3 linked regions of the Lepisosteus oculatus genome follow. The protein of the gene in region 2 purifies or fractionates together with the protein of the main gene of each other region. This does not show direct contact. Links are inferred from orthologs where the notes say so. Each region holds a gene or a part of one and is shown on either strand. Other genes may lie near its edges. The genes, in order: mrto4, cebpa and cdk4.

Region 1 (10,453 bases), on a different chromosome or scaffold from region 2:
GTATGGTCTGGGCATGGAGGAGGACCAGGACAGGGCTTTCACACTCCTCCAGTGTCAGTCAGAACTTTAATTTACCATAGGAGCACACCTGATAATGACAATATAATGTGGAACTATGATTATAACATTATTCCAAACCATACACCTGGTAACACCAAAGCAGGGAACTCCAACTGCAAATAAAGGATTATCGTTGGTAAAAACAGAAATTAGGATGTTTAAAAACATGCCTGGGTGACTGGACAACCCAGAGAACTGAGGATCAATGTTGGTGCTTCTTTCATATTTATGTTTGCTTCTAAATCAAATGAAGTTTCAGCTCCCGGACTATAACATCAAGTAGTTATTTTTTAAAGAAAACCAAAATGTTACTATATATTTTTTCCCTTTATTGACACTCTAGACTAAAAGTTGTCTATATCCTCAAGATAATCACCTAAACAGATTTTTTTTGCGTTGTTTTCAATTTATATTTGACTTTTACCATGTTTGTTTCTACAGCTATGCCCCACTTCAAACTAGAGAAGGATCCTGATAGCATACGAACCATGGGATTACACTGTGCCTCACTTTGGCACTGAGTTTATACTATGGACCAAACTCAAGTGACAGATAAAATCTCATAGTCTTATCTTAAACATACTCAAGGATCAATGAGTACTTTTGAGATTCTGGATGTTTTGAGATTTTAAGAACTACACTATGGGGTGCACTTATGCACACTGATTAATTCCGGGCTTGATGAAGGAAAAAAAACTACTAACTGACTGACAGCTACTGGAAATTGGAAGAGAAGGCATTGAAATGACAGCAAAAGTATTGCACATGTATTCCCGCCTTGTAACTTAAGAGTTATTTTGTCTTTCTAAACCAAAACCCCTATGTACACTGCACTGGGCTGCACAGCCCAGCTGGGGTAGGGGCTTGTGCGGAGTGAGGTGACTGTCCTACTCACTCTCTCTGGCCGCCCACCACTGGGGTCCGTGTGGTAGGTGATGGAGGTGTCCAGGAGTCTCCTCCCAGATGTTGCAGAGTACAGATTGATGCTGCAGGCCTTGAGGGGAGGAAAGGACGGAGGGTTACAAGCCTGAAATTTCAACCAGATGAACTGTGGTGATCAACGATGAATATCATGGCATGGCATTATAGCTATCTGAGCTTAGCACTGTTATTTCTCTTAAATGGCTTACTGGGAAAGATACAGCAGTTCAAAATTTAATTTGCAAGGTAGATCAGTGCATATTTTTCACCACAGCTGGCACACATGGCAGGGTAATTCATAATCCTAGCAGCCAGATACAGACCTCCTCCAAAACATTCTTCAATCACAAATTACTGTATATGTATTGGGGGAAACTACAACTGCTGCTTTGCTCCCCAGTTAATCTGATTCACTCACGGTGTTGTTCTTAGGCGTCATGACAGCAGCCACAGTCTTCTCCCCAGTCGTAGCGAAAGACACCAGGAAAGCCTGAAACATTTCCCAACATCATCCGCTTACTTCAGTGGTTCTGAGCCTTTGAAACAATGTCCCCCTTTCCGTTAACACAACGCAACAGGCCCCTCTTTGGTGTATGACCTAATAAATGTATTTGAATATTTAAAAAAATGATTTTATTTCAATAACTATTTGTGACCAATCTTATACAACCAAAATTATTTTTAGATAGTGAAACAGATTTAAGGTAGCATGATCTAAATTCAGTTGATTTAAGAATTTGCCTTAAACATTATCAATGTGAGCTCTGATGCTGCATATTTGCCACAAGCTTTGACATACTCAGTTTTGTGGAAAAAAGAGCACAATGCAAGCTACTTTCAACATCAAGCCTGTTGCGGTGTTTATTTCTGATCATCGGAAGTGTAAACATCCAGCCTCGCGCAGAGAGGTAGATGAAATTGAGGATGTGCAGAGGTTTTTATGTTCAATTAGTGTGATTGGATCAGACTTTGTCTACTAGATTTTGCTAATCGATGCTCTAGAATGAAAAGCGCTGGAGGCAGCTCCTGCTTACCGGCTGGAAGGCCCGGAGGGAGATAACCAGGCCGTCGCCGAGCTGCAGCAGGGTGTGGTGATCGGGGCCGAGCTGCAGGAAGAACTCGGGGAGCGGGGGCCGGGCCGGGTTGGGCTGGGTGGACACAATGACCGGCTGGAATCCAGGGGACACCTCGAGATCCAGAGACTGGTGAGAGATCGAGAGGGAGGAGGAGCACAACGTTAACAAGGGCTCCCAACAGCACCTGCCGATGGGAATGGTTTATTTCCTCCATACTACACCATTTCCATCTAAAGCATATATATATGAAAAACACTCTTTAGACAACCAAAACAATGAAAGTAATTAAAAAAAGTTATGAAAATTTACTCTTTCATTTAATAAGTACTGTGCTGAGCAGCCAGCTTACCTGCAGCAGGAGCTGCTTCATATCCTGCTGGTGGTCAGTGTCCAGGGGCAGGGTGTAGAGGGACTGGGTGGTGGGGTCAACACACACCAGGACCCCAGTGCTGACCACTGCACAGCCTGGCTGCAGACTGGCCAGCCACGGAGCTTCCACAGATCTCTGCAGAGGACAGTACAGCATCATTTAAACCTATTACTTGATCATTTTAATATGGTGAATATGGTTTAATATGGTTAATGGTTTATATGGTATGGTTTAATATGGTTAATATGGTGAATCCCATTGGTAACACACGTGGCTTGCCATGTACACATGTATATAAGGCACCAGCATTGTCAAACTAAATATAATGGTGTTAAAACCTTGTAAAATGTGCTCCTTTTAGTATGTACTCTGCTACTGCATACAGTATTTCTCACATATTAAACACTACTTAGTAAGACACTGTCCATAAACGCCTTGTTGATTGGCTGCATAACTACAAATCAGAATCTTAAAATTTAAAGATGATGCAGTCAGACCTGTGTCTAAAAGCTCTACCTGGCTTTAGGTTGTGACATGCCAGAAATACCTGAATCTTTGTGCTGTATTTCAAATAATTCTTGCAGAGAGTTTATCATGTTAACAGCTGCAGTTAACTTTAAAGACTGAACTTCAAATCCAGTAAACTAAATAAACACAGCTGAGGCATTTATTTCTAGCAAAGCAAACAAATATTTTTGGAAAAATATATTCACAGAGATATCACTTCTTTGTGACAAAATGACACATGAAAACTGTTTCTTACTTAACAGTATAAGAAAGATCAGTTCTTGCAACCAGCACAGCTAGAACCCACTTGGATTTGTCAACTCTATTATCAAGACAAACAGCTTTCATTGTCCTATCTTCCAGGAGAACAATATTCTCAATATTATCACATACAATGTTAAAAGTCATAACAGTAAAAATAAGCTCTAAACTATGGCATGATAATGGCACTCTGAAAAATATTACTAAAAAGACATAACTGTACTGTTGCAATATACTTTTATAGTTTTTAGGGGCTAAAGAAGCATTCAATACACAGAACAGAGACTAAATGTTCTTTAAATGGTTCTTCAAATGTGTTTGGCTTACGATGGCCAGTAAAATAAGTGTAGAGTTCAACACAATTTACTGTTGAAGTAATTCAATTTCAGGCTTCCTCAAGTTTAAAAAAACAGATAATATCCTAAGAAGCTTCTTTGCTTAAGTGATACGTCGACATTTATTGCCAATGAATGCATGCTTACCTGTTTCATTATCTCTCCATCCTCAATGTTGTAGGCAATGATGACAAGATGGGAGTGAGGCACTACTCCCAGCACATAGACCTCTCCACTACCCCCCGAGTACACTGTCTGGTACTGCACGGTCTCACTGCAGGAAACACAAGATCCCACACTTTGATCTCCTTTTTCAGACACACAGTGCTCTTGTAAAGGCTTTACACTTCAATAGACTCCAATAACTGTTGAGAATTACTGGGTTTCATTGAGCCAAATGTATTTTAACTTAAGTAATTCACCATATTATAAGGTGGAGCTATCATGGTTTCAAAATTCCACTGACAGGCTGTACTGCTGCTCATGATTCCATAGGAGCCACTAAAACACTGGGATTGGGTTTGGAAAGGAGGGAAACAAGCATCATTCTTTTGGCCTACCTATCTGGCAGGTTCTCTACCCATCTCTGATGGCCGTTGGAGAGGTAGTGCAGGGAGATGGCACCTGTCTTCAGCACAGCCACATACTTCACCGAGTCCTGCAGCCCTACAAAAGTGGCCGCCTGAAAACTGTGCCAAAGAAAAAGCAGGTTTTGTCAGTCACTTCAAACACTTCACTGACAATTAACTAGCAAAAAGCTTAAAAAGTGCAGTACTCTTGAGTATAAAGAAGGCATTAACATTTAAAGTACCATACTTATACATCTTCATGTAAAGCAGTACGCTGAATACGTTCCGGGAAACACATAAGTGCAATTTTCATTTTGTTTACACAAGTGTAGAATTAGTACTTTTAAAATTTAAAAGTTTTCAAAAGCACTATTTTTTAACAGCTGGGTAAAAACGAATTAACACCATCTGGGGTGAGACAGCTACAGTCATTGGTTCATTTACCTTCCAGTGTCCAACAGGGTCTCCCAGTTTAAACCACCAACGTTGGTTTCCCAAGAGCGCACCAATCGCCCATTTCCAGACACCACCACTGCATCTGGGGATAAACGCAAACAGAACAGTAAGCCAAAACAGCAATCATGATCCCATCTGACTAACCTCCCTTCACCTCATGATTCTAGGGCAACACCTGGTATTTGGCATCGTGTATATTATGCAGCAAAACTGCTACTCTTAATGTAATTTTCTTACTGTAACATCACATTGCAAATTAATATGGCAGTGCAGTAACTCTCATAAGCCACTGATCTCTATTATGGAAAACGAGGATTAGTTTTTGTTACTTTATACTTAAGACTTTCAATTAATAAAGTAAAAACAGCAGTGTTTATAAAACACAAGCACAGAAACCAGACTGATGCTACTAGTTATTTTGCTCCATTGCACTCCAGGAAAGAGCTGGACTCACCTTGACCATGGAACAGCATCGTTTCAATGCCTCCCTCTGGCCCACTCTTGTCCACGTGCCTCCAGACTACACACACGGAGGAGAACAACATCACAGACCACGAGAGAACTGACAACAACCCCCTCGAGACTCGTCAGATATTGAACATGTTTTTACTGAGAATGTCATCTGTCAGCAATTAACAGAAGTCTGCCTAGGATGTGTCAGATCTGGTACCAGTTCAAATTATAACAAGGTGCAAGGTAATCAGAGAAAGACTTTACTGAAACACTCAGGACCAGCACTATGCCCCCCTTTAAAACACGTTTTGCTGATTATATGTATTTTTCACTTTTAGACGAACAGTCCAGGAGACTAGTGGAGATTTGGTACATTTTCCAGAGGATGTAGACAGCAAGTTCAGTCAAAGACACATATTCTGCAAATCTGCTTCTACTTACAGATTTCTCCATTCCTGGAATTGAGGGAAGCGATAATATTCTGCTCGGTGGCCAGCAGGAGCTTTTTGGATGCCTGCGTTTGGGTGTCGAAATAGGCGAAGCGTACTCTGCCTACATACTGCTGTCTCCTGTGACAGAGAACACACGGGTGCCGTCACTGAAGGGCTATTTCATTAAAAAGGTTATGTACAGTACAAATACATACATTCAATGCACAAAATACTCGGCCTCGCCTCCTTCTTGGAACGAAGGTGGACAGATTTTCCATCTTTCAAATACTCAAGAGTTAAAGAACCAGCCGCTGGATTTTGAACTGATAAAAAACTCATCGTTCGACCTACAACACATTTTCATCTAGTTAAACCAAAACTGCAAAAACTAAGGGTACTGTTCCGTACAAAAACTAAATTATCACGGTTTCACACACTAAAACCCCACACGAAGTTACACGCTTACACAGACTAGGAAGCGTTACATTTGTTCAAATGCTAATATGTCCAATACACTCGGGAATCTGTCACAGCCCTCTTTCATTAACGAGCAGTGCTGCTCCAGGTACAAAAAACGCATCTTCCGTCCAAAACGATCGCGTTTAACTGAAACCGTAACTCACCAGTCAAACTTCCCGACCTGATCTTCAAAAACAGCAGCAGAGTGATATAATAAGAAGGAGAAAAAAGCGAAACCGGCCAAAAAACCTGCCATAGTGAAATAGAAAGACCTCCACTAGCCCACAATCCACCGGGAGATGAAGTTGAGAAAGATAAAAATGTACTCCCTCCAAATTGCCAGATAGAATACGAATTTGAAAAATAAAATAAAAATTCCAGAACATGTATTTAATTTATTTATCGCATGAACATAATTATATGTGTATTTAATTTTGTTGACTGTATATTTTCAGGCAGTGTGTGGACAGCCTTTGAGGAAGCATCGCGAGCGTGTGGGGTCTTTGAGTAGCGTGGTTGGTGCAACGTGAGAATCATGCCGAAATCAAAGAGAGACAAGAAAAGTGAGTTTAAATGTTTAGTTTTATCCTTATTTTTTTTTTAATGCGAAGACATGATCTGAGGACATGTTATCTGGGGAAGAAAAATCAACGTGGTGATAAAATGAGTGTATTGCTTAACTAGAAGAGATCATTTCAGTGTGAAGTAGTTTATGTTTCCAGTTAGAACTTGAGAAATATTTTATTTTTCCGAGGTTAGTAATCAGTTCAGACACAAGAAATATTTGAAATGCACTAATTAATTGATAATGCCTGTGAACCTCCAAAAATTTGTATTTTGCCAAATTTTCATCAAGAACTGTACTCATTCTGACTGGAGTTTATGATGTTGCGGTTTATATTTTGACGAAGATCTACAGACTTATCTTCTTTTAAATGCAGGATACAGTAATTTTCAGATTGTGCTTTTAATAACATAAAAATCATATCAAAAAGTATTAATGTAAAACAGATGTCGTTTAGAAGGAGTCCTTACCATGGTATGTGTCTTTACAGTCTCTTTAACAAAAACTACAAAGAAGGGACTGGAATCCAAGCAGAACTTAATAGAAGAGGTAATTTCCGTTTTCCTGTTCCCTTTTCAATACATTATGGCTAACTGGCGTTATTGTGACATGGCTGTTGGTACTGCTGGCTCACAGATTGTGAATCCCTTTCTGTCTGGAGCTTCCTCTCATGCCTTTACGCTGGGTGATCCTGTTCATTCCTGCCTTCCGAAAGACATGCTGGCTAGGTTAATAGATATCTCTGCCCGCACACCATGCAATAGGCTCTGAACCTTATCAACCATAAGATTTCTGATGGATAGTTTGCGGCTGTAATTAATGTCTGTTCTCTTAGCTGCGGAAATGTGTGGACATGTACAGCCACCTCTTCATCTTCTCTGTCGCCAATATGAGGAACAGCAAACTCAAAGACATAAGGACAGCGTGGAAGCACAGCAGGTGGGACAAAATGTCTTCTTGATAAAAGCACCCTCATAACCTTGAACCCCATTTGCCTTGGCATTTCTAGTTCCCTTGTTCCTCACTTACATTGCCATATTTTTGGTTTAAATCTTTCTCTCCCTTTTTTCTTCTTCAGGTTCTTCTTTGGCAAGAACAAAGTAATGATGATTGCTTTGGGAAAGGGGCCTGCAGATGAATACAAGGATAATTTACACAAGGTACATCATACCAGGCAGTCAGTGCCTTGTTCTGTTCATTTTCATTTGTAGGAGACAAAGATTAGTCTGCAATAAAGCCTATAATTCATACATTGAATAACACTAGAAAGGCAGCTTAATTCCAGAATATTGTGAAGTAAGAAAAACATAAAGGGGTAGATTTCATTCTGAGGATAGATGATGTTAAAAAGGAGGACTTCGGACCTGAAATCTCAAAATTCTGTAGATTTTCTGTAGAAATCTGTATTTAAAAGTCCAGTGTTCACACTACGAACCCGCTTGGCAGTAGAATGCTGTGAATGTGATGGATCTGCAAATGTAATGCTTTCATTACTTGACTGTTGTTTAAGAGACTCTTTTATTTACACTCACCAAATTAGTGCCAAGTGTAGAGAAATGGGAAATGATGCCTGAATTGTTTCTGAATTATTACTGGCTCTTTCAGTCGCAGATCTCAGTCTTCAGTGTCTCAGTGATCTTTATATCCTGTAGGTCAGCAAGTTTTTGAGGGGCGAGGTAGGCCTGCTGTTCACCAATAAAACCAAGGAAGAAGTGCAAGAGTGAGTATTTTTTGTGTGTCAGGGGGAATTAAATATTGCAGCAGCCAATTATTTTTACATTATTCACCAAATGTAGGATTCCAAATTATTTAATAGTGGCTCCTGTACCACTCAGGACAAAACTGACAAGTGGGCATATCTTCCTACATGCCCACCTGTTAGAGCCATTCACATTTGATTTATTACAAATTACATTATTATTATCCACAGTCCCTTTATAAAATGGAGCAGCAGTGTCTTTCAGCACCTTCACTGCACACCTGAGGGTGCTAGGTGGGTCACAGGCATTGATGTTTTCCCAGAAAGGGCATGGAGCCCAGGCTGACTAATCTCATCCCTAGTCTGGGGGTGCTCAGATGCTTGTGTGGCACCATCTAAAGACTCCTGGTTACAGTCAGCTAGTGACATGAACCAGAATCAGACTAGCAATGTGCCGATGTAGTTCAATGTGTGTCTGGGGCGGGTATCTCTACTGGTTGAGCTTCTCGGAAGCCCTAGTGTCTTCACTTCTGAAAAACATTTAACAGCAAAGTAAATATGTACAGATAATGCCTTCTCTTCCTGTCTGGCTGCAATCAAATCTTCCTGTCGCAGTATGCTTCGTCAGATAATGAAGTTAAAGAGCAAACGCATTAGAGGAGCCACATGCTGGCTCATTTCTTTAAATAAATTAGGACTTCTTTCTTATCTGTGACAGGTATTTTAGCCATTTTAAGGAAATAGATTTTGCACGGGCAGGGAACAAAGCAACTATGGCAGTCACGCTAGATGAAGGACCTTTGGATCAGTTCTCTCACTCCATGGAGCCACAGTTGAGACAGCTGGGTCTACCCACGGCTTTGAAGAAAGGTAAGAAATGTCGGACTAAACAGCCTGCTCCTGCTTTTTTCATGCAAAAGCTTTATTTTCCCCTAACCTGAGTTCTTTAATGTTATGTCCACTCTGTCAGGAACTTTTTTCTAGTTATTATTCTGAAACATATGTCATTGTATTATCTCTTATACTCTGTACATCTGAGAAGGCTGTGGGGTCAAGCTGCAGTTTTAACGAAGAACTAAGTGATCTCAAGGGCATCAGTTTATATCATTTTTTAATCTTCAAAACTGTGCATTCACTACTCATGCCTATGTGTTCACTTTGTGTGCGTGTTAATTGTCCCGTGTATCTTCTCTGCAGGAGTAGTGACTCTTCTGAAAGACTATGATGTGTGTAAAGAAGGAGATACCCTGACTCCTGAACAGGCTACTGTTCTGGTGAGTTCATGCAGTGTCAAGCGTGCTCTCGTGTCTTATCTTCATCTTTGTATTCCTTCACAGCTGAGGCTTATGATTGAAGAAAATCCATTGCAATGGAAATGCACCAGTTCTAATCGATCTCATTATAGTAAAAGTCAGGGCAACTCAAAGTCTATCCCAAAAGCACAGGGTGCAAGAAGGGACCATGGTGAGGTGCTCATCTGCACAATAGCAATTTCAAAATGCCAATTAACCTAGTCTTTAAGAAGGTGGGAAGAAACCCACAAGAAGGTGACTGCTAACTGCTTTGCCACTGCCACAGTGTGCATCATTTGCAAGAAATAGTGAACAAAAGTGTTCAGCTTGTTTAGAACGACATAGAGGAGCAAAAACAACACAGGTGGGAAGGAGTAATGGACCACTCTTATGATATGCATTCAAAGTGCTACACAGGCCCACAAATGGCACAAGAATTTAGCCCATAGGTTAAACTCGCTCACGTCACCGGAATGATTGAATGATCGAAAGATCTACTGAAGCCTGACATCTAGCACAGGTTTTGTGTGTATTTCTCTGGGCCAGAGCAGAGGCAGTGGTCTGTTAAAGCAGCTGTTTAGTAGAAATAAACTGAAACCAGTCCTAGTTTTTGAGATGATGCACTGTTTTATTCTCTCCTTTCATTTCAGCTTTAGATTTTCAAACTGAACCCTTTTACAAGTCAAGTATGCGCATATTAGTGAAGTTTTAAAAAGTTGGTCTCTAGCGTGTTGGGTGTTTTTGGTTACGACAATGGGGTTGGTCAGTTTCATGCGTGAATGGCACTGGAGCAGACTGCTGCTACCCTACACATCTTTGTGAATCCGGAAGAGCAGAAGCCTAGTGTAGTGTAAGTGTACCCCTTACAGAGCCTCCCCCTTTTTTCAGAAACTGCTCGGGATCAAGCTGGCTGAGTTCAGGGTGACGATCAAGTGCATGTGGAACTCAGAAACTGGAGACTTTGAACACCAGGGTGAAGAAGAGGAGGAAGCGGATGGG
Region 2 (10,207 bases):
GCTGAAGAGATTAGATGGATGTGTATCGTACCACCCAGACACTGTCTAGAGGGTGCCGTCCCTGCTAAGTGAGAAGCCAGGCAAGGAGGAAACTGGAAGGGAGGGAACCGTGAGGCCAACTGTGACTTTGAAAGGGTTTCAGACTTCCTTGTTGTTGTTGTTGTTGTTGTCCGAGATGGAAGAAAATGTGTGCGAGTCAACAATACCCCAGCCGCTCCTCAAAGGGGGCCTGTATGGAAGAGTGGGGAAAATCCACGTCCGTTCCCACATGGGAGGATGCAGCAGCGTTTAAGTGATTCTGCAAACGTGCGACAAAAGGTTTTGTGGGCAGGCAAGACAAAAGCGGAACTTGGTGGCCTAAATCGCAAAGTGTAAACATGGTGCATCATTCAGTCAGTACGATACCTACTGTCAGGCTTGGCTGTGGCGGCTTTATGTGAAGAGTCCTGACTCGAATCCTATTGATAAACTATAATCGCAGGGGGTTCGGCATGCCAGTTCCTGCCAGGCACTCACTCCTATGGCACAGGACCACTATACTGCTCCCCTTTGAGGTCTGAACATCCTCTTGGGATAGCCCACGCCACCCCTACAGCAGCTGAAGGTGCTGGGCTTCTCTGTGCGCAGTCATGTAGAATACTCTTGTGCTGAAAGTTGTGCCTCAGTCATGCTTGAAGTCTGAAAGATCCAAATTTCTAATTGCACTTTTTAAAACAGCTCCAGACGTCTACTATTTTTTTTTTCCCCAAAACAATTCTGGAAAGAGGACGTTGCCGTGGTGAAGTTCAGGACTGTGAGCAGGGCAGAACCCTCTAGGGTGGGATGTGGACAGATCAGAAATGGGGAAAAGGTCGTTCTGTCAAAAGAAATTTCCAATTAAGGTAAGTCCACTGCATTTCTAATGTGACTTCTCCCTTTATTTTTTTTAAAAAGAAACAAACCTATGAAGATTTCATGAGCTTTTTTATTAATCAATTGCTTCGCCCTTGGGGAGATAGTGAAGATACATTTACAGTTTAACAGAAACTTAGTTACTATTAATAATTTACTTCCCTTTGACTTTTTCCATACCTTACAGTTTTCACAAGGAAAGTGTTCAATAACAAAAGAAACAAGATTGTTTAGTCCAAAATGATTAAGAAGAGTAATAAAAACACCCCTTAGTGTACATTAGTTTAATGCTGTAGTTGACAAATATGTACGAATTAGCAGAGCCGCAGTGAAACACAATTAGGCAGGTATTGGTGCTTTACTTCACTCCCCTGACATAAATGATGATTGCAAAGGAACAAGTCAGGGTTTACTCCATGCTGAAAAGAGAAGAAAGAAAACACAATGTTTTGGGTGTGGAGTCTTCTTTGGGCGTCATAAATGATGACCTGCAGGCATGATGTGTCACATAACAAGCTGTTCTTCAAAGAGTGGAGGAAGGGGTTAAGTTGTAAAAGCACAAATGATACACACCAACATATTTAGCATTTCACAAATTAATCGATCAATGTCAGCGTGTGGAAATGTAGTATTTGTGGATTTGTAACCCCCCTGGTACCCCCAAACTCTTTCCAACTCTGAGTTCTGTAACTTTCTGAAAAAGGACTTACTAGATATCTGGATCTAAACCTAAACACAAAAGGGTTACATGATCTAAACCAAATATAAAGAAACTGTTGGTAATATCTGAAAAACAATGCTCTCTGGATGCCAGGGAGTATCACCCCATTGTGTTTTCTAACAGGGAGAACAAAGGCCATTTAGAGGTCTCTTCTGTCTATCATATATATTCTTTGGGTGAAAATTAATTTGAGATGGATCATTAGATGAACCAGGAAACAGGAGATGAACCTTATGGTATTTCTTACACCATAAGGTGAGTATTAACATTATTAGGCCAAAGATAGGAGAGACAGAGCACTGGTCCTGAAAATAAAACTTAATAAGCAATAAGCAATAATAACTGATAACTGAAAGTAATACCGAGATGTATATTTACTGGTACGTGCTCTTGGTTTCTTGCATTTTCTTCTAACAATCACCCATCGTTTTCAGCACCTGCTTTTTTTCCTGAACGGCGACGCAGAACATTGCCCACAGTAAAAATGTTACTAATGAGATGTTTTTTATCGTCGTTATGAACACCGCCATGCTTAAATCTCTACTGTGTTTGGGGACCTCCACCTGAAACACTGAGTCCACAGGGACACTGTGCACAGCCCTCGCACAGAGCGCTCGTACCTTTTATAGAATTTTCTGTTGTCGACACTTGGATGTTCAGAACACGTTTTTCGAAACATGTTTTCAAACAGCTGTGCAAAGGGTACTAGAAAGTGAAAACCTAAAAAAAAAGTCAGAATCTCACTAACCTCCTTAGAGTCGGGTCGATAATCAACAGACAATCTTTTTGACATCTTGCCCTCTGTTGACTTTGAGCGAGTCTGTGTTTCATTGCTCTTACGGTTGCTTTTGAATACTTAACGGATATCGTCTGTTTCAGTTGAGCAATTCAGAATCCAGCCTGATAAAAGGAATGCTCTGTGATACAGCAACACGCCAGATCGGAGGCACCTTTGTTATTTTATAGTCTCGGTTGCTTTCCGATGAGCGCACGCAGGGCACCGTTTGCGGTCACCGTTGAAATTCAATGGTTGGTTAATCAGGACTTCAGAAAAAGCGTAAAGCGGGGTAACCCGAGTGTATTCGCTCTCAGTGCTTGAGGCTACAGACTTCCTCCAGCAGTAACAAGTTCTCCGCGAAACAACAGAGGGAGCTCCCCGCTCAGGAAAGGCAGAGTCACGATTCAGGCCGTCGCTAGCTAGGAGTCTGACTTGTGCCAAGTCTCGGAGAGCGAGCTTCAGGTCACCGGCTGAATCGCAGCCGTTGTAGTCGATTTCACACAGCACATTGAGATTACTATGATAGCATCATGTACAATCATCTCACTCGAATAATAAAGGTGATATCATAAAAGCCTCAAGTTTTCTTGAAATATAGTGTTTTTTATATTATTCATTGTTGCCTTTTCCTTACTAAAACATTACCGCAGTGCTTGAAAACAAAGAACTATCAACATCTGTTCAATTGTATTGTTTTAATTTAATAACGGAAATTACCTCCATAGTGTTTTCATTATTTTCTCTTCATTATTAGTATATTATTACTTACATGTAATAGTATGCAAGTTTCTACATTACACCACGGTGTACATATACAGCTAGAAAATATCTGGGAAATATCGGACTTTTGTTCATCTGCCTTCATTATTTCCTTAAAATGTGAAATTATGAGGATTGTATTTTTAAGCTTTTAAGTCGAAAATGTGTCCTTTGACTTCTTAACAGACAATTCCAACAATTGTCTCGAAAAAGCGATTTGCAGGCAGACAAAATATATTTAAGTGCCAAATGCCAAAATGTTGCAATGTTGGCAAAATATAGTACAGCCACCCTAACGTGAATCAATTGCATTTATTAAGCAATTTCACTACTCCGCGATTCTAACAAGTAACTAGAAGAAACCTTTAACCTTGTTTTCTTGATGCTGGTTAATGTGTGTATTAATAATAATAAGAAGAAGAAGGATGCATCATCATTTCATTTTTACTTGAATGTAATGTCGAAGATACACTACCACACTTCGCTACGCACACATATGCTTTTGTACGGAGACGTTAAATTTTCAAGAAAACGATCAGCTTTCAGAATAAATCAGTTTGTTCGCACAATGCAGTTTACGCGGAATAAATCAAGCAATGCTGGTACAGTTTCAGCACAAGAACTAACTTGTTACTGTGACCGAGAATGATTCGGTGAAAGCGTTTCAGTAATTCGTCCAAGCTTGGTGTAGAAGTGGAGTTCGGTGACAGCGTTGTGACTAAGGGATATGTACCTACACTCAGATAACAGGATGTGAAAAGACTGGCTGACTGTCGGGGGGGAGTTTAAAATTCCCAACACAGCTTATTGCTTCTCTGGTTAAGTACAGGTTGATGTTCCCTGCACCCTAGCTGCCGCATACTGGGCTAACCATGGGCTCCTGGGACCTCTCTTGTAGTAGCAGCCCATGGGAAACTCACCTAGGCGTTTGTCTTTAGGTTCCCAACTCTTACAGTTGCCTAGAAACCTATAGGTCATCTACAGATTCTTTTTTCCCTAAGGGACAAATATGCAAATCCGCAAAACAAAGTGTAGAAAAAAAAAACTCCCCACCGGGGCTCTTGATTTAGAAACAAAATCCCTTCATCAGACATAACGGGTACAGGGAATTCCATCTGCCGTGTGGTAAAATACAGTTACAAACCGACACTCCGAGGTAGCCCTTCGTGTGGTACTGTGCAGTGAAGTCATACTTATAGGGGAAAATCTCGTTATACTGTAGAGTAACTACTAATAGACAATCAATGAAGATCGACTCTCGACTTGAAGTATTGTCTGGAAAACGGTCTAATGCAATAGTGCATATTTTAAAGTCCTCCCTCCCCAATGACACGCCGCAGATATTGAAATCATTGTAGCGGTATTTAATCAGCTGTAGTTCACATTCAAGGGGAGGAGCGCCGCTGGAACACTCTGTGCGTTTCGACAAGTCACGTCGGCGTGTCGAGGAGGTCTGTCCGGGCTGATCGCGGTATGGGAAGATACCCAGACACGGCAGGTTTGCGCTGGCTGGCTGGCTGGCGGGGGGACGGACCGCAGCAACAGGAACATCAAACAGTAGAAAGAAAAAAAGAAGTAAACGAAATTGTCCTCGTGTCCCCTTTTCCCAGCCCGCTGTCACCTGAATTTTTTTAAATCGGAATTGTGATTCGGAGCCGCTATTGCAAACAAAGCAGAGAAGGGCTATTCATTAATACTTTCTTCTTTGAGAGCGTTTGTAAAAGAGCTGCAGTGTCACTCTGTCACATCAATTAAAATGTTCACCTAGGCACCAGCCCCTTCTTCAAGGTGCACGGTTTTCATTATGACTTTTACTGTAGTTTTAGCCCTCACTCGGTGCTTGGATCCCTGAAGAAAATGAGTTGCTGGTAGTATAGTATACCCTGCAATGCACAGTTTTGCATTGTAATTTAACCTGAGTTGGGTACATACAATTTATACAGTAGCGTATATAAAAATAACACACCTATTGCAAAATTCGCATACCCAACAGCAATTACTGTTTATTCCTGTTCTACCTCGACTCCTGCTATAAAGAACACTCATGTTTAGCGATATTAATATAGCATTTTCCAACGACTCTTTCACTTATATAGGCGGACTTTTATATTGCTAATCTAATTGTTGCCAAATCTTACGAAGGGACCACTTAACCAATATTGCTATTCAGTTTTATTACATTATGTAGTATAAAGTGAAACCGACGGTATTATACCGCATACAGAATATAAGAGACTCGTACTCGTATGTACTTAAACTGTTAGGCAAATTTGCCCACATATATGTGTGTATATCATACACTTATCGATATGATTTTTCGAAGCTAACTTACATTCATAGCTATAATACATACATAAGGCTCGCAGATATCATAACGATTTCGCAGCGTCAAACCCATATTTTTATGGGATATCGATTACATCTAAATACATCCAGGCAATACATCATGCACTTTTTCGACAGAATGTTTAATCCTGAATGAACATGATATCGAATGAATATTCAATTTGGGGGGGGGTATCCGTATTCATTGCAATGTATTTTAGAATTCCATCAGCCAAGGTATGTTCCTAAAAATAAAATCCCTTTGAATGTTTAAAGTTAATTTATTTTACATGCACTTATTTTAGACGGTTCTAGGGGAACTGCCCCCGCTCTTTTAAAGTACCCTCGGGTAAAGTTCAGTCGGGAGGGAATTCTGTTCCAGGCGCACTAGGACCCTGAAGAGCAGGCGGCCTCCTCTACAGCACGGTATATATATCACTGAGTCGGGAGAGTAAATCAGTTGTGAGCTACTGGGGCTTACAAACCAAGTGAGACTAAGGAACTGCCTTTTGGAAAGCATTCCTGTTTCAGTTTGCACTGTCGAAGCCCGCCCGATCTATAGCGGCAGACCAGACCTGAACTGCTTCTCACCCAGCCACTCACCTACAGTACCTGGCCGCAACCTGAGCTTGCTTGAATTCCCCGAGCCATCGCGGCTTTCTGCGGCACTGCGAGCAAGCTGGATTCTCGGAGCTCTTCACCATGCCTGGCTGGTTTTAGATACTCCATGGAGCAGCCCAATTTCTACGAGGTCGACCCTCGGCCCCTGATGAGCAGCATTCCCCCGAACCAGCAAAGTGCCTTCTGCTACAAAGAGCCTCCAGCGGCCGGAGACATCAGCGAGATCTGCGAGAACGAGAACTCCATAGACATCAGTGCCTACATCGACCCCGCGGCCTTTAACGACGAGTTTCTGGCTGATTTATTCCACAACAGTGCGAAGCAAGACAAAGCCAAGCTGGCTAGCGGCGAGTTCGGCTACGCCAGCGGCGGCCACGGCGGCCCCGTGACCCACCCGCAGGTCTACGGCTGCATGTCGAACTACATGGACACGGCAAAGCTGGACCCCATCTACGACCACCCTTCCGCCACGAGAATCCGACCTGTGGCGATCAAGCAAGAGCCCAGGGAGGACGAAGACACTAGCCAGTCTGCCATGCCGCCGACCTACCATCACCCCCAGCACCACCCCCACTCCCACCCCCAGCACCTCTCGCATCTCCAGTACCAGATCGCGCACTGCGCCCAGACCACCATGCACCTGCAGCCCGGCCACCCGACGCCCCCCCCGACCCCGGTACCCAGCCCGCACCACCAGCAGAACAGCCTCCCGGGGGGCTCCATGAAGATGATGGGCGGCGGAGACCGGAGCAAAGCCAAGAAGCACGTCGACAAGAACAGCACGGAGTACCGCCTTCGGAGAGAGCGCAATAACATAGCGGTCAGGAAAAGCAGGGACAAGGCGAAGATGCGCAATGTAGAAACCCAGCAGAAGGTGATCGAGTTGTCAACCGACAACGAAAGACTGCGAAAGAGGGTGGAGCACCTCACCAGAGAGTTGGAGACATTAAGGGGCATCTTCAGGCAACTCCCCGATGGCTCCTTGGTCAAGGCTATGGGCAACTGTGCGTAAAAAGGAACTCGGAACTTTGCAGGACTCTTCACTGGTATGATTTCTGCTGGGTCTTATAGCCACAGATGTGACAGATTCTCGAACCTTTATTTTTTTAAGGAGCCAGGCAGCTGAGGTATACATGTATGTGCCTTTTGTACAAAACGATAAGCTCATTTTTTCCCACACTTTTAAGTGTTATCAGTGGAGGTTTTAAGTGTTTTCGTGCCTTAAATGTAAGAAAGCGCCCGCCAGTGTGTTTGTTAGCTAAGCAAAAACATATCAGTGCAGCTAAGGTAGGCTACAATTGTAATTTTTAATCTTTGTTCATGTTTTAAAACTTCAGATCTCCTCATAATGCCTATTTTTGTCAAAATACCATATGCGCTGTGCCTTAAGAAAACTATTTAAAAATAATATGCGCACGATATTTCTAAATATGCTGTTTTTGTGCTTGTCAACACCAATATTAAGTACTTAAGCTTTAAGGAATTTCTTGACGTGCGCAAAAAGTTGAAAATCTTTTGCTTTTTCACACCTGTCCGAAAACAGCATATTTAAATTTTGAGTACATTTGCCTTAAACGTTTCAGTCAAGGTCTAAGAATTAACTTTTTATTTTCATGCGCGGTGGAAGGGGAAAGAACGACTGAATTATGAGACGCCAAAGTAAAGGACTGGAACGCAAGTGCTATAATCTTGTTTCTGTTTCTGCTTCATATAAGCAGGTTGTCAATGCACTATACTGTATGTCGTCAGAATACGAGTAAATGAAGCACATTGTGTTTTCGAAATGGCAATAGACTCGGGTGTAGTTCTATTAAACGTCTCTCAATGTATGCTTTTGGATTTTAGCCTTACATTTATACTGTACAATTCAGAATGTGAAAGAATGCCTTACACAGTGTCTGTTGCCATCTACATGATTCCATATAAATATCACTTTGGTGTGCTTTCTCACTGATTTTGCAGTGAAATACTGTTCTCTAGAAATCCGCTCGATGATGTTGGTTTCTGCGCACTGTTTCGTTCTCTCGAGCAGAAGCCCGGATTAAGTGCCTTCTCCACCTTTCTTTTTCTTCACGATATCACTGGTCGAAAGTTTTGGAAATAAAAGTAAAGCAAGCACTTTTTACAAATGACATTTTGCCGTGTAATACAAATATTTTAAGTACGTTTAAATTGTAAAATAAAAATATACATGATATATGCCAAAAATTATTGAAAAATATAATAAATGAAAGCCTTGTGTTATATCTTGTTGTTACGTCTCTTTTATTCTAAGACCAAATTGATTTTTTTGTTATTTTTGCTGCTTTTCTACACCCGCGAAGTAAGTCAATAGTATTTTATCATTGAACTCAGCAGAAGGTAAAAAAAAAAACATTGGATTAATTTCACTTCAGTTGTCCGACAAGCGCAGCTATCAATTTACCACGTACATTATTTTAAATCTAAATATTATTTCTTTAAAATGCTTCGCCATTACGCTATATAATGTATAAAATAAAATCGAATAACATACTTACAATTATGTAATTTATTGGGATTAGTTTTTATTAATTCGGTATATCTTCTTATTAAATATTCCTGTAAAATCTCTGTCACAGTTGTGGTAGTGCTCCAAAAAGTGTCGGTAGATGGCGCTTTATAAACACTAGTAAGTAGAGGTTGGCGATCATCGCTTTTCCAATAGTAGCAATTTAAATTCGGGTTATTGATAGGGTGACATTAATTTTTCAATGTTTATTATTTTGTGCAACACGTTGTGCGCATAACCATTAAACAGACTCATATCATATTGTCAAAAGTGTGTATAATTTTAAATATTTGTGCACCTGTAAAGTGTAAATGTGGTATGACAAAGACATACGTTTTTGGAAAGATCAGATATTTACAGCAGTCGTTAATAGTAAATTATTGCTTTATATGTTCTCTTAAAATATCTGCAACAAAACCTTTATATTCAGAAAAGGAACTTTCTGATGACTGTTTTCTTTGCAATTTAACAAGGGGAAACATCTCAAGATTTATACTTTTTCTGCACGAAACATCAAAGTACTTTAAATCATGGAAGAATGTAAAACATTCAAACAACTTTTCCATTCAAACCTGGCAATGCATATATGAACGTGTCATTCTCTGTTCATTCTAAACATTATGGTGATTTCTTTCTGTTTACTTCAAATGAACATGCACGCATTTTAAACGACAAGCATACGCTGCTACATCATGTTCTCCGACTGATGGGGAGACAGAACTTGTGTTTCCTAGTATAGATCGTAACCTAATGAACCATATTTTGTGGTGCAGTGGATTCTGTGAAAGTGAATCCTTTCAGCAATGTCAGTTGTTTAAACCTAATACAAAGTTAGTACATTATTTAAATTTTGGACCATAGTTCCACCTTTAAAATGAGCATTTTGTTAATGTACATTATATTAATCTAGTGGCTGTGCGTTGTCTGGCTTTGTGCCAGTACTGGGGTGAAATAATTGCATGTGGAAGATTATGCACTTAGACGTGGGCATTACGGAGTGGCACAGTAAGTATTACTGCTGTCTCGCAGCTCGTGAGTCCCGGGTTCGATTCCACCCAGGAGTACCTTCTCCATGGAGCCTGCCTGGTTTCCACATGTTGGGTTTTCACCAGGTGCTCCAGATTCCTTCCACAGCCAGAAGCCGTGCTGTCTGGGTTATCTGAAGTCTGTAAATTGCCCCCTGTGTGTGCCCAGCATTGCCCATTATTTGCTGGACTCATCGTGAGCCTGTACTTGACTATGCAGTTACTGAAGATGAATGGGCAAATGAATGGGCATGCTTTTTCTCCAACACGGCTTTTGAAAATTAGCTTTCAATTTTAGAAAAATGCTCGTTAAAGTAGTTGAAAATGTACAGCTGGATTGATTGGAATACAAGTTCCATTGCCTTATACCGGATATAAAATTGGAAACATCTGTAAAAACATCTGTCTGAACTGAAAGAGAACAGTTAGTGACAGCAGACAATATTTTCTGTATTATAGGCAAGGTTAACCAAATTTGGCACTTGAATTCATTTGCAAGTTTTAATTCCAACAACAAAGTGACCTTTAGCAGCAGAGCTTTTTAAATATTAATTAAT
Region 3 (10,146 bases), on a different chromosome or scaffold from region 2:
CAGACTCCCTGTGCGCAGCAGTGTGAGCCAGTCCAGGTTTTACCATGAGCCGTGGGGCTCATGTATCCAACCACAATGAGGAGCGGGATCCAGGTTTTCTAACTGCTGTGTACGAGACTCGGCACGGCTCGGCACGGCACGGCTCTGCCGTCTTCTTGGCCTCCTCTCGTTTGTACCCTCCGTGATATTCGAAAAGCTGTAGGATTCAGCTCTTCAATACAGCGCTACGAGCACACCGCTCATGTCTAACGGAAACTGGGCTGACGCACTCTTTTCTGGTTTGGCCGTTGAGGTTGTTGCTGTGAGATAAGAGAAGAAGCCTGCTGGGCCTCTTTTATCTGAAAACCACACGGAGGCTGCAGAGCTGCAGTGCCCCCACTGGCCACAGGATGGCAGAAGAGAGCTACAGCCAAACCATTTGGCAGATAAATTCGACAAGAAACAGTTAAATGGAATCGTTGTGCGGGTTGGCAGAGAACCCTACAGAACGCACCTCCCACTTTCTCTAAGACAGGATGAGCCCAGGCTTGCTTGGGAACCTGTCTGCAAGACCAGGGAAAACCCAGTTACAGCTCTCAGAGATAATACCTGGAAAAAGACATGCCTCCCATTCTAACAGCAGTGCAACACTGCCCCACACAACTGCCCCGCCCCCAGCTGAGGCCAGAGCGCCCCAGGGCTGCAGCGGGAGACGCGTACAAGGGGGATTAGCGGTTTTGGGGTTCTGGAGCGAGAAGTCATGCTGTTGAGGCTCCAGGTCACAGCTGGTTACAATCGCCAGTCGTATTTCACTCACAACAAGACAGGCTGGATGGGTCAGAATTCCCACGACCCCAATCTTACCCCCGCTAATCAAATTAAGCACATTTATTAGCCCCCCCCCCCCCCCACTGATTCACCCCTGACAAACACCAGCAAGGCTTCCGCTGTGGACAGTGGAAACCTCCACCTGCTCGAACCCAGGTCCCGGCGGACATCCCACCCTGACTTGAACCCAGGGCCAAGACCCACCTGCGGCGGAACATCTCGGCGAAGATGCAGCCGGTGCTCCAGATGTCAACCGGCGTGGCGTAGGACGACTGGAGCAGAACCTCCGGGGAGCGGTACCACAGAGTCACCACCTGGGGGAGCCAGAGAGGCGTGTCAAACACACGCAGCTGCACCAGCTCGCGAGGTTAAAGGAACAACATGCGACCCGCCCAGCAGGGGGCGCACTGCCGGCTCTTACCACGGGCGTGAGCGCCATGTGGCAGCTGTAGATGCGCGCCAGGCCAAAGTCCGCCAGCTTGACCTGGCCGCGGCTCGTCACCAGGATGTTCTCGGGCTTGAGGTCGCGGTGCAGCACGCGGTTCGAGTGGAGGAAGGCCAGGCCGCACAGCAGCTGCTGCATCAGGTCCTGCGAGCGGGGGGAGAGAGACGCTGTGGGGGTGTTCGCCAGCTCGCGGACCCCGCGGCAGGATCGCCAAGAGGGGCGGGGCCTGCAGGCCAGGCGGGCTGCCCTTACCCGAATCCTGTCGGGCGGAAGGCCGGGGGGCGGCGCCTTGTCCAGGTAGGTCTTGAGATCCTGGTCCACGTGCTCGAACACCAGGGTGACCTTCGTCTCCTGGTCCGTCCGCAGAGTGGCGCACACGTCCATCAGCCTGCAGCGCAGACACACGCACACACAGACTGTTAGACCGGGCCGGACCGGGACACGGCATGGGGGTTCGTGCGCGCACGTGCGTGCCGGCGGCGGCGGCGGCCGAGGTCTCACTTCACCACGTTGGGGTGGTCGAACTGCTCCAGCCTCTTCAGCAGGGCCACCTCCCGCACCGTGGACAGCGGCAGCCCGTCCTGGTCCGTCTGCACCCGGACGCTCTTCAGGGCCACGAACTGCCCGCTCTGCCGGTCCCGCGCCTTGTACACCGTCCCGTACGCGCCTCCCCCGATCTCCGCCACCGGCTCGTACTGGACCACGCTCTCCTGCGCCATTCCCAGCCTGGCAGACAGAGGGCGACGATGAGAGACAGGCTGGGGCTCCAATCCCCTCCCTCTTTCCCCCAGACTTCTGGGAAATGTAGTTCCAAAAGCCATCACTTCCATTAAAGGAGGTGATTTTAAAACTGGTCGGTCTATTAGCAAGACCTCATTTAGAATATCGTGTGCAACTCCTCAAATTCAAAATTCAACCTCAACATGAATTCTTAAATTTTCTATAAGAATAATCTTCACATCTTTGGAGACAATGTAGACAAGCGCTTTGTGTCACAAACAGGTAGCAAACTAAAAAACTCCAGCTCCAGTGTTTATGGTGACACATTTAGATCTTTTAGACCCTGCGGGGAAGCAATTCTAAAAACAATGTTAGGACTAGAAGTTAAGCACAGAAATTAAATCAAAGGATGTTAAAATAACAAAATGCGTTAGTAAGGCCTCATTTTAGAATACTATTCAATTTTCATCACCACACTCTAGAATCAGCGCAGAGGAGAACGACAGGGACTGTCCTACGCTGACCGGCTGCAGGAACTGAACCTCTTTAGTCTTGGGCCAAGGAAACGATGAGGGAACCCGATACAAGTTTTCAACACCCACAAAGCCATTAGCAATGTCCACCCGCAGATTTAATCCAAAATGAACACAGGTAACACGAGCTCCTGGACAAGCGGACACTACAGGGGCGTGGATTCGATACTGAAAACAGGAGGCTACTATACCCCAAGGGTTGTGGGAGAGTGGAACGAGCCGTGGCCAGAGGAGGCCCTCGGATCAGGTAGCTCCCAGCTGCCACAGGGGCTGTACGGCCTCCTCTTGCTGGACAGGGCTCCTGTGACCTCACAGCCTCCACAACGCAACAGCACCGCTGCTGCTGCTCTGGAATCAGCCCCGACACAACCCCGGGCCGAACCTTCCCCGTCTGCAGCTCAGACGCAAATGCACACCGAGCTACAGCCCCGCGGCACACAGGCGACAGAGCGCCGCTCTCCCGCTGTCCCCCTCCCTGACCACAGGGCCGGGCAGCTGGAATTCCCTGGCCTGTGGAATCTGACCTACAGCTCCAGCCAGCCAAGAACTGGGTCACCAGCGCATTCCTGAGGGGAGCGAGAGAGCCACAGTCGCGCAGGGGAGAGGGAGGGACAAGCTGACAGGGGTCGCCTCCCCCCCACCCCACCGAGCCCGGACCGCCCTGTAACTACAGCCCCGCCGGCCACTGGCCACCCAGGCCAGGTGACCACTCCCGGGCGGGGCAGGAGACGGCCCACCCCATCTCCGAGCAAACCTAGCCGGGAGGGAGCCCAGCAATCAGGCCAGCGAGCCTAAAGCTCTGCACCGCCACTGACTCATGACAAAACCAACCAGGGGTGTACTGTGTGAAGTCAGTGATATCCCGCAGATAAAAACAGGGAAACCCAAATAGAAGTCCATTCAATGTCTGTACCCACTGTTTACACCCACCCTCTTCTTTATAGCGCCACCTACTGGAGGGGTCAGACACCGCGCTTTTGTCACCAGGCGACCCGCGAGACCCGAGTTCCTCAGCACAAACCCGGCTTCTTCCAGGAGGTCACAAGGTCACCTGGTGCACTGGTAAGACACGGCTCGGTGTGGATTCCGCCTGGCTACGCCAACTTGAGAAACCCGGTGAGTCTGAACTGGAACTGCTGCTGATAATACTGTTGACGCCTTCATTCATGACCATCAGCACGATAGAAAGTGTCATAGAATAAAAAACACAAAGGTGTTTGTGTGCTGGGGAGAGAAACATGTTCTGTATCGACACCCGTGTGTGTCCCAAATGGACTTCTGCATTTCCGAATAATTAAATGATCGGTCACTACATATACATTACTCTAAGGCGGTCAGATACAGGCAGCCTGTACTGAAATACTTTCGAGTGGGGAGTTGAGTCACAGTAGGTTGGCTTCAAAGGACCAAGCAAACATTTTCCCACGGAATTACCCTCTGCCTGTTTCTGTTTTGAATTAGATGTACAGACAGCAGAGCTCGCTGCTCAGACCCCGCAGAAACACCCGGGCCGCGGTGGTGACGACTGGGTTTCTAGAGACCAGTACAGGCGGTGTCACTGCGGATGTCCGGCAAGAGCAGCGCTCGGAAACGACCAGCCCCTCTTCGGGCCGGCCTCGGAGAGGGGACGGAAGCGGGTGGGGGAGATCGAGGCAGCCGGAACCGAGGTCCCTGTGGAGTTCGGACCCGGCTCCATTTCGAACGGACCCTTCCCAGGAAGCGAACCGAGGAATCCAGTCCGGTAGCTCGAATGCGCGTCCCCGAAATTGGGACCGCCCAACATAGCCGGACTCACAACTAAGTTTTGAAAAGCGTGGCTGTGTTATTATTTCGAGTCCGACATTTTCTGGGCTGGGGTGCCACGGAGCCCGGTCAGTACGCGGGACCGAAGGCCGGTTCCCCCGGGCCTCCCTCCCCCGGGGCAGCCGCGAGCGCGGGGGCTTTCTCCAGCACGTGGTGACCGGGACGCAACTTCTCCTTTGTTAACCAGTCGGCCGGGGTGGATTCAAGCCCCGGTACCTGCGGTTCGGGGTCTCGCCTCAACAGTCCAGCCACCCGAACCGGGTCGCGCTGCCGGGCTGCGTGTTCACCTTCCGGTCTAACAAACTGCCCCCTCCCGCAGTTCGGCCGCAGACACGAACTCGAGCCCGGTTCCCCTCTCCTCCGTCCTGCGGGCTGTCGCCGCGGGGTCGCCGTTTGTCCCACGGCAGCTTGAATCTCGGCTGCCTCGTCATTTTTAAAAATAAAAAAAAGACGCGATTAACATTTGACTTTCCCAGATGCGAGTCGTTCCGAAGTGCTCGGCCGAACGTGGTTCGTTAACGCTCGTAAACCGCAGCGTGTTCAGTTCGACAGTTCTCAGACGGCATTCTTGCATTTTCATTTACCATCTGTACACACCTCGGCGGCTTGAAAAGGTAAAATAGGTTCGCTGAGTTGTCTACTTACCACGTTGCTTTCCGACTGTTTTAATGCACAATTAAACTCATTTTTAATCAGTTATCCTTCTGGCCTTTGAATAGCTCGATTCCATCCGGAGGTGCTCGAAGAGAGCCCGCCTACAAATGTTTTTCCCCCCTTTTTGTTGCTAAAAGGGTTTGTTTATATGTCTAAAAAATGTAGAAAACTTTGGCCTGACTTTTTCCTCCCCAAACACTCCGAAGGCTCATTCATGGCCATCAATCCAGCCCCGACCAGCTTCCTGTCCGGGGGACACGCCCCCTCGCCCACACAGCCAATCCCCTTCGCGCATTCAGTAGCACTGACTCCCTTGGTGGCTCCGCCCCCCTCGGAATTATTAATTCATAAAAAATTCACATCAGACAGTGAAGTGCCAAAAGCTTTTAATTGCGATTATGGGGTGCGGTTATGCGTTTAAGGGTAATATTGTTTACATATATAAATCTTCAACAGGACCTAATTCCGCAGCTTTACCATGATACCCGATTTTCTAACTGTGCACTGTGAAGAGGTTTTACAGCACAGACCAGGAAGAAGTCGGGTTTGAAGCGAGAAGTCTCTGTAATGCACGTAAGAGCCCACGTCTTTTTGGCGGCAAAACTTTTGTTGCAAACCATATTTGTATGAACACAAGCGTATTTTTAGAAAGATGAAGAAAGTTTCTTTCTCCCAAATATTACAAAGCAGTTCGTTTTTTAATTAATGACATTGACTACACCCCAAAAACTTCACATTTTGTACCGAATACATCAGTTCAGGAGTGCAAAAGCGTAGCCATGGGTACAAACTGCAATCTTGCAACAACGTATTTGAGCAGATTAATGTATATGCCTCGGCTCAAATCTAGACACACTGGGTTGTTGTTATAGTAAAGACGTGAAATTCTTCTGTAAATATTTAAGGATTTTTAAAAATCCCAGTTTTCCCCTCCTACTCTTACACTAACACAACACAGTGTTTGTCAGGCCCGGCTCCCCTTCCGCCCCACAGTCGGCACGCTGTGCGTACCGAGCACGTAACCACGCCCCTTCCTCACCACGCACTGGCTCCTTGTTGCGCCGTGATTGGCCGAGAGGCTTTGTTGCTAGGCTCACCCGCTGCTCTGCCGCGCGCGCTTCCCTCTGCATTCCAGAGAAAGCAGGAGGAGCTCGTGGACGGAAACATGCGCCGCAGTAACACAATGGCTGTAACACACTGCGCCACAACACACAATCACACATTGAAGCACTGTGTACCACTACATCACAATAAGACATTTAAACGGTCTATATTGGTCACACTGTAACACACAGTACACACTGCACACACTACTTCAGTGCATTGTAACTGTAACACACAGTACAAACTGCACACACTACTTCAGTGCATTGTAACTGTAACACACGGTACACACTGCACCACAGTCACACTGCAACACAATGCACACTGCACCACAGTCACACTGTAACACACAGTACACACTGCACACAATACTGCAGTGCACTGTAGCTGTAACACACAATAATACCCTGCACCAAAATCACACTGTAACACACATACCACTGCACACAATACTGCAGTGCACTGTAACTGTAACACACAATAACACCCTGCATCACAGTAACAATCACACTTCAAACAAGAGTCCTTCCAGAGTGTATCCATAAATCCGGCAAATTATCCACCTTTATAGCTGCTTGGAACAATCAGAAGGACAGGACATCCTGTAGGCTGTCCCTTTCCTGCCTTCCTGACGGGGGACCGGAGGATGTCAGAGGTGCCTGCGAACCAGGACAGTCCCAGAACTGTGCAACACTGCCCTGTCACTCCAGCCCTCCCTCCTCACAGACGCCTGAGAACGTAAAGGACTGTGGTGCGCCCTCAGGCATTATGAAATCAAGTGTTTCAACTCCAGTCCATCTAAGCTGCAGTGGGCTCTAGCTACAGCCAGTCATTTTAAAGAGCCCAGTGCTGTCGTCTGAGATCAAGCCCGGGCTGTTTCATTACCGGCTGTTGAGTCAGTCCTAGAGTACCTTTGCAATCACTACATCTCATCCAGGTCCCACTGGTTGCAGCTTTGATCTAAGTGTATTTCCTTAGGTGACCCAAATGACAAAATACAGCCAGTTGCTTATTACCAGATACTGCAGAGCTGGGGTTCCTGTGGGACAGCGGTGCTTGTTGACTTCAATTCTGGTCCAGATAAATCACGCCCAGGACAGATAGATGCACATCCCAGTCCAGTGTAGTCTGGCTCTGTACTTTTTTTTATGGCAGGGAAAATCATGTGTGTGTTTTTCATATAATTTGACCTGTGCTGTGGATATTCACTCAGAATGTTACATGCATGAAGTATCCAGCTTACACTAATGCACTAGTATTAGCTTAGCTGCAGAAGAATACAGAGCTGATGGCAAACCATGGAGTGAATCAGACTGCAGTGCTATTGGAGACTTAATGTCCTTCACGAGAGTTTACTATAGACCTGGAAGTATGTTTGTGTTCTTTTGCATGGAGAGGTGGACCACATGGCCCCTTTGAACTCAGTTTCCTGGCCAAATTTCCCCCTGATCTTTCCCAGTAATGGCCTCCTAAATACCCCCATGAATTGAATTGGCTTCATCACTCTGTTCTCCACTGATAGCTGGTGTTTGGTGAGGTGGTGAAATCCTGGTGCACTCTGGCTGCCGTCGCACCACCCAGGTGGGAGCTGCACACTGGTGGTAGGGGTAGGTAGTCCCCATTATTATTATTATTATTATTATTATTATTATTACACTGAGACTGAAGGCAGCTACTGGGAGGGCTATCACTGGGCTGGGCTCTCATCATGCAGTGACATTCTATTTATAATGTGAAAGTGAGTGTGGCTGCACTGAGAGTGCCCAGTGTGTGAACAGGGAACAGGGGAGGTCTGTGGGAGTGTGTGATTAGGCCTCTGCGTAGTGGTATCAAAGGCTGTTATTTCTGATAGAGGCCGGGGGGTGTTTTCTCGATGAATGGCCGGTGCGTCTGTGTAATCGTCCACACATGGTGAGGCTCCGAGAGACGGAGGCACAGTGACCACAGCTCAGTGGAATGTGCTTCAGATGGCAGCCACATGTCTTCTGACGAAGATGCTCACAGTCACACGTGCCTCTGCAGACACTGTGCTGCTTTACTCTTCGAGTCAGTCCACACTCTGAGGGGAATGTTTCAGATGCCCCAGCCTTCAAACACACCATATATGTACATAATATTACCAGCAGCCATATCACCCTGCAGCTCACACCTGGCAGCCCACTGGAGCTCAGCAGGTGTGAGCCTGGCCAGTACCTGGATGGGAGACCTACTGGGAAAAACTAAGGCTGCTGCCGGAAGAGGTGTTAGTGGGGCCAGCAGGAAGAGGTGTTAGTGGGGCCAGCACAGGGCGCTCACCTTGTGGTCCATGTGGGTCCTAATGCTCCAGTATAGTAACGGGGACACTATACTGTAAACAGGTACCGTCCTTCGGATGAGACGTAAAACCGAGGTCCTGACTCTCTGTGGACATTAAAAATCCCAGGGTGTATCTTGAAAAGAGTAGGGGTGTAACCCCGGCGTCCTGGCCAAATTTCCCATTGGCCCTTACCAATCATGGCCTCCTAATAATCCCCTTCATCACAGCTTCATCACTCTGCTCTCCTCCCCACTGAGAGCTGATGTGTGGGGAGTGTTCTGTCGCACTATGGCTGCTGTCGCATCATCCAGGTGGGGCTGCACACTGGTGGTGGGGGAGGAGAGTCCCTGTTACCTGTAAAGCGCTTTGAGTGGAGTGTCCAGAAAAGCGCTATATAAGTGTAAGCTATTATTATTATTAATATACAGTATATGTTCCCTGCTGTCCTGTCATGTTTAGATCAGGACCATGCCAGTTCATTATCAATGCCTGCCAACCTGGCACTTGACTCTCACATTAGGTCCAGCACAGCACACAAGGCCAAGTAATGCCAAACAGTTGTTTGAGTCGGCTCCCTTTTGTGCTTGATGGTTGTACCCTTTTTTCTGTTGATGCTATTCTTGGGCTTGAAATAATCAAGCAGCTTTCCAGTTATGGCTATAATGCAGTTTGAAAGCACAGTGCCTTCATCTGCTGCCATCACTTAGAAGCAGAAGAGTGAGTGGACAGGTGGACGAGAGAGTGGACAGGTCAATGAGTGAGTGGACAGGTGGACGAGAGAGTGGACAGGTCAATGGGTGAGTGGACAGGTGGGTGAATGAGTTGACGGATGAATGAGTGAGTGGACAGATGAACGAGTGAGTGGACAGGTGGATGAGTGAGTGGACGGATGAATGAGTGAGTGGACTGATGAATGAGTGAGTGGACAGGTGGATGAGTGAGTGGACGGATGAATGAGTGAGTGGACAAGTAGATGAGTGAGTGAAGGGCCTAGAATAGGACATGTTCAGCCCAGAAGACAGAAGAACACAGATCTCCTTCTTTAGCTTAAGTAAATGTTTCACTAGGATATCTGAATGCTCACTTTCTGAGATGAGAGAGTGTATCTGGAATGAAGGGAGTTCAGTTCAAAAACCACAATAGTTAATTACCTTGTGTTTAATATATTGACAGTGTAGAATAACTCCACGATTTGTATTGTTTAATCCTTTATATAACCAGATGTGCCAATTGGTCAAGACTTTACCTCCGGCGTACTGCTGAACTAAATCTTGGAAAACAGAAGTGTGAATCTAAAAAAACTGGTGCTACAGCACAGAACGGAGCTTTGCTCAGTTACGTGAATTTGTTTTTGAACAAGACCTCAGTAATCTTTATTTTCTTTACATTTACTTATGTATGTGCTATTACATGTATATACACACATAAATATACATTAAGCTACTGAAGGTTGACCGAATTTGCTGTGTTGGGTAATACAATTCAGTTTTCTCGGGCACACAGGCGCGCAAGTCCGCCACCTGGTGGCGCTCGCTGAGAGCCGCAGTCCGGCTGCCCGCGTGAGAGCGCCGCCCGTCTCCCGCCGCGGGCCTGCTTCTCGTCCTCCTGGCGCCCTGGCGTCCCGTCGCTCAGTTTCACGCTCTCGCCCCGTGAACGCCGAATGTAAATCCGCCGAACCCAACAACCTAACAGTTTTCTTTTTCTTGCTACAGCACAGGCTAGACGGAGTAAACAAGGAAGTGTAAACAGCAGGGGGCAGCAGAGAGGTCTCTCCTTGGCGTTAA

What was found.
Region 1: the proteins of cebpa (region 2) and mrto4 purify together in Homo sapiens (affinity purification with mass spectrometry; 3 studies listed by BioGRID and IntAct, with this or other methods). This does not show direct contact. The link is inferred for Lepisosteus oculatus from reciprocal best matches to the Homo sapiens genes CEBPA and MRTO4.
Region 3: the proteins of cebpa (region 2) and cdk4 purify together in Homo sapiens (affinity purification with western blotting; 3 studies listed by BioGRID, with this or other methods). This does not show direct contact. The link is inferred for Lepisosteus oculatus from reciprocal best matches to the Homo sapiens genes CEBPA and CDK4.

The regions. Positions count from the first base shown.
Region 1 is NC_090720.1:5,918,431-5,928,883, forward strand, and holds the start of mrto4 (mRNA turnover protein 4 homolog), read left to right. Parts: upstream 1-6,355; 5' UTR 6,356-6,433; coding exon 6,434-6,461; intron 6,462-6,555; exon of another isoform or gene 6,556-6,652; intron 6,653-6,953; coding exon 6,954-7,012; intron 7,013-7,298; coding exon 7,299-7,402; intron 7,403-7,541; coding exon 7,542-7,623; intron 7,624-8,115; coding exon 8,116-8,183; intron 8,184-8,880; coding exon 8,881-9,032; intron 9,033-9,359; coding exon 9,360-9,436; intron 9,437-10,061; exon of another isoform or gene 10,062-10,342; coding exon 10,343-10,453. Other genes in the region: emc1 (ER membrane protein complex subunit 1), read right to left, coding at 956-1,054, 1,400-1,471, 2,016-2,183, 2,407-2,562, 3,678-3,804, 4,091-4,219, 4,544-4,637, 5,010-5,075 and 2 more. UniProt on the Homo sapiens protein: Component of the ribosome assembly machinery. Nuclear paralog of the ribosomal protein P0, it binds pre-60S subunits at an early stage of assembly in the nucleolus, and is replaced by P0 in cytoplasmic pre-60S subunits and mature 80S ribosomes.
Region 2 is NC_090715.1:15,642,443-15,652,649, forward strand, and holds cebpa (CCAAT/enhancer-binding protein alpha), read left to right. Parts: upstream 1-5,917; 5' UTR 5,918-6,201; coding exon 6,202-7,107; 3' UTR 7,108-8,341; downstream 8,342-10,207. UniProt on the Homo sapiens protein: Transcription factor that coordinates proliferation arrest and the differentiation of myeloid progenitors, adipocytes, hepatocytes, and cells of the lung and the placenta.
Region 3 is NC_090696.1:14,869,471-14,879,616, reverse strand, and holds the start of cdk4 (cyclin-dependent kinase 4), read right to left. Parts: upstream 5,224-10,146; 5' UTR 4,954-5,223; intron 4,732-4,953; exon of another isoform or gene 4,728-4,731; 5' UTR 4,596-4,727; exon of another isoform or gene 4,525-4,595; intron 1,979-4,524; 5' UTR 1,972-1,978; coding exon 1,754-1,971; intron 1,641-1,753; coding exon 1,505-1,640; intron 1,397-1,504; coding exon 1,229-1,396; intron 1,122-1,228; coding exon 1,012-1,121; intron 1-1,011.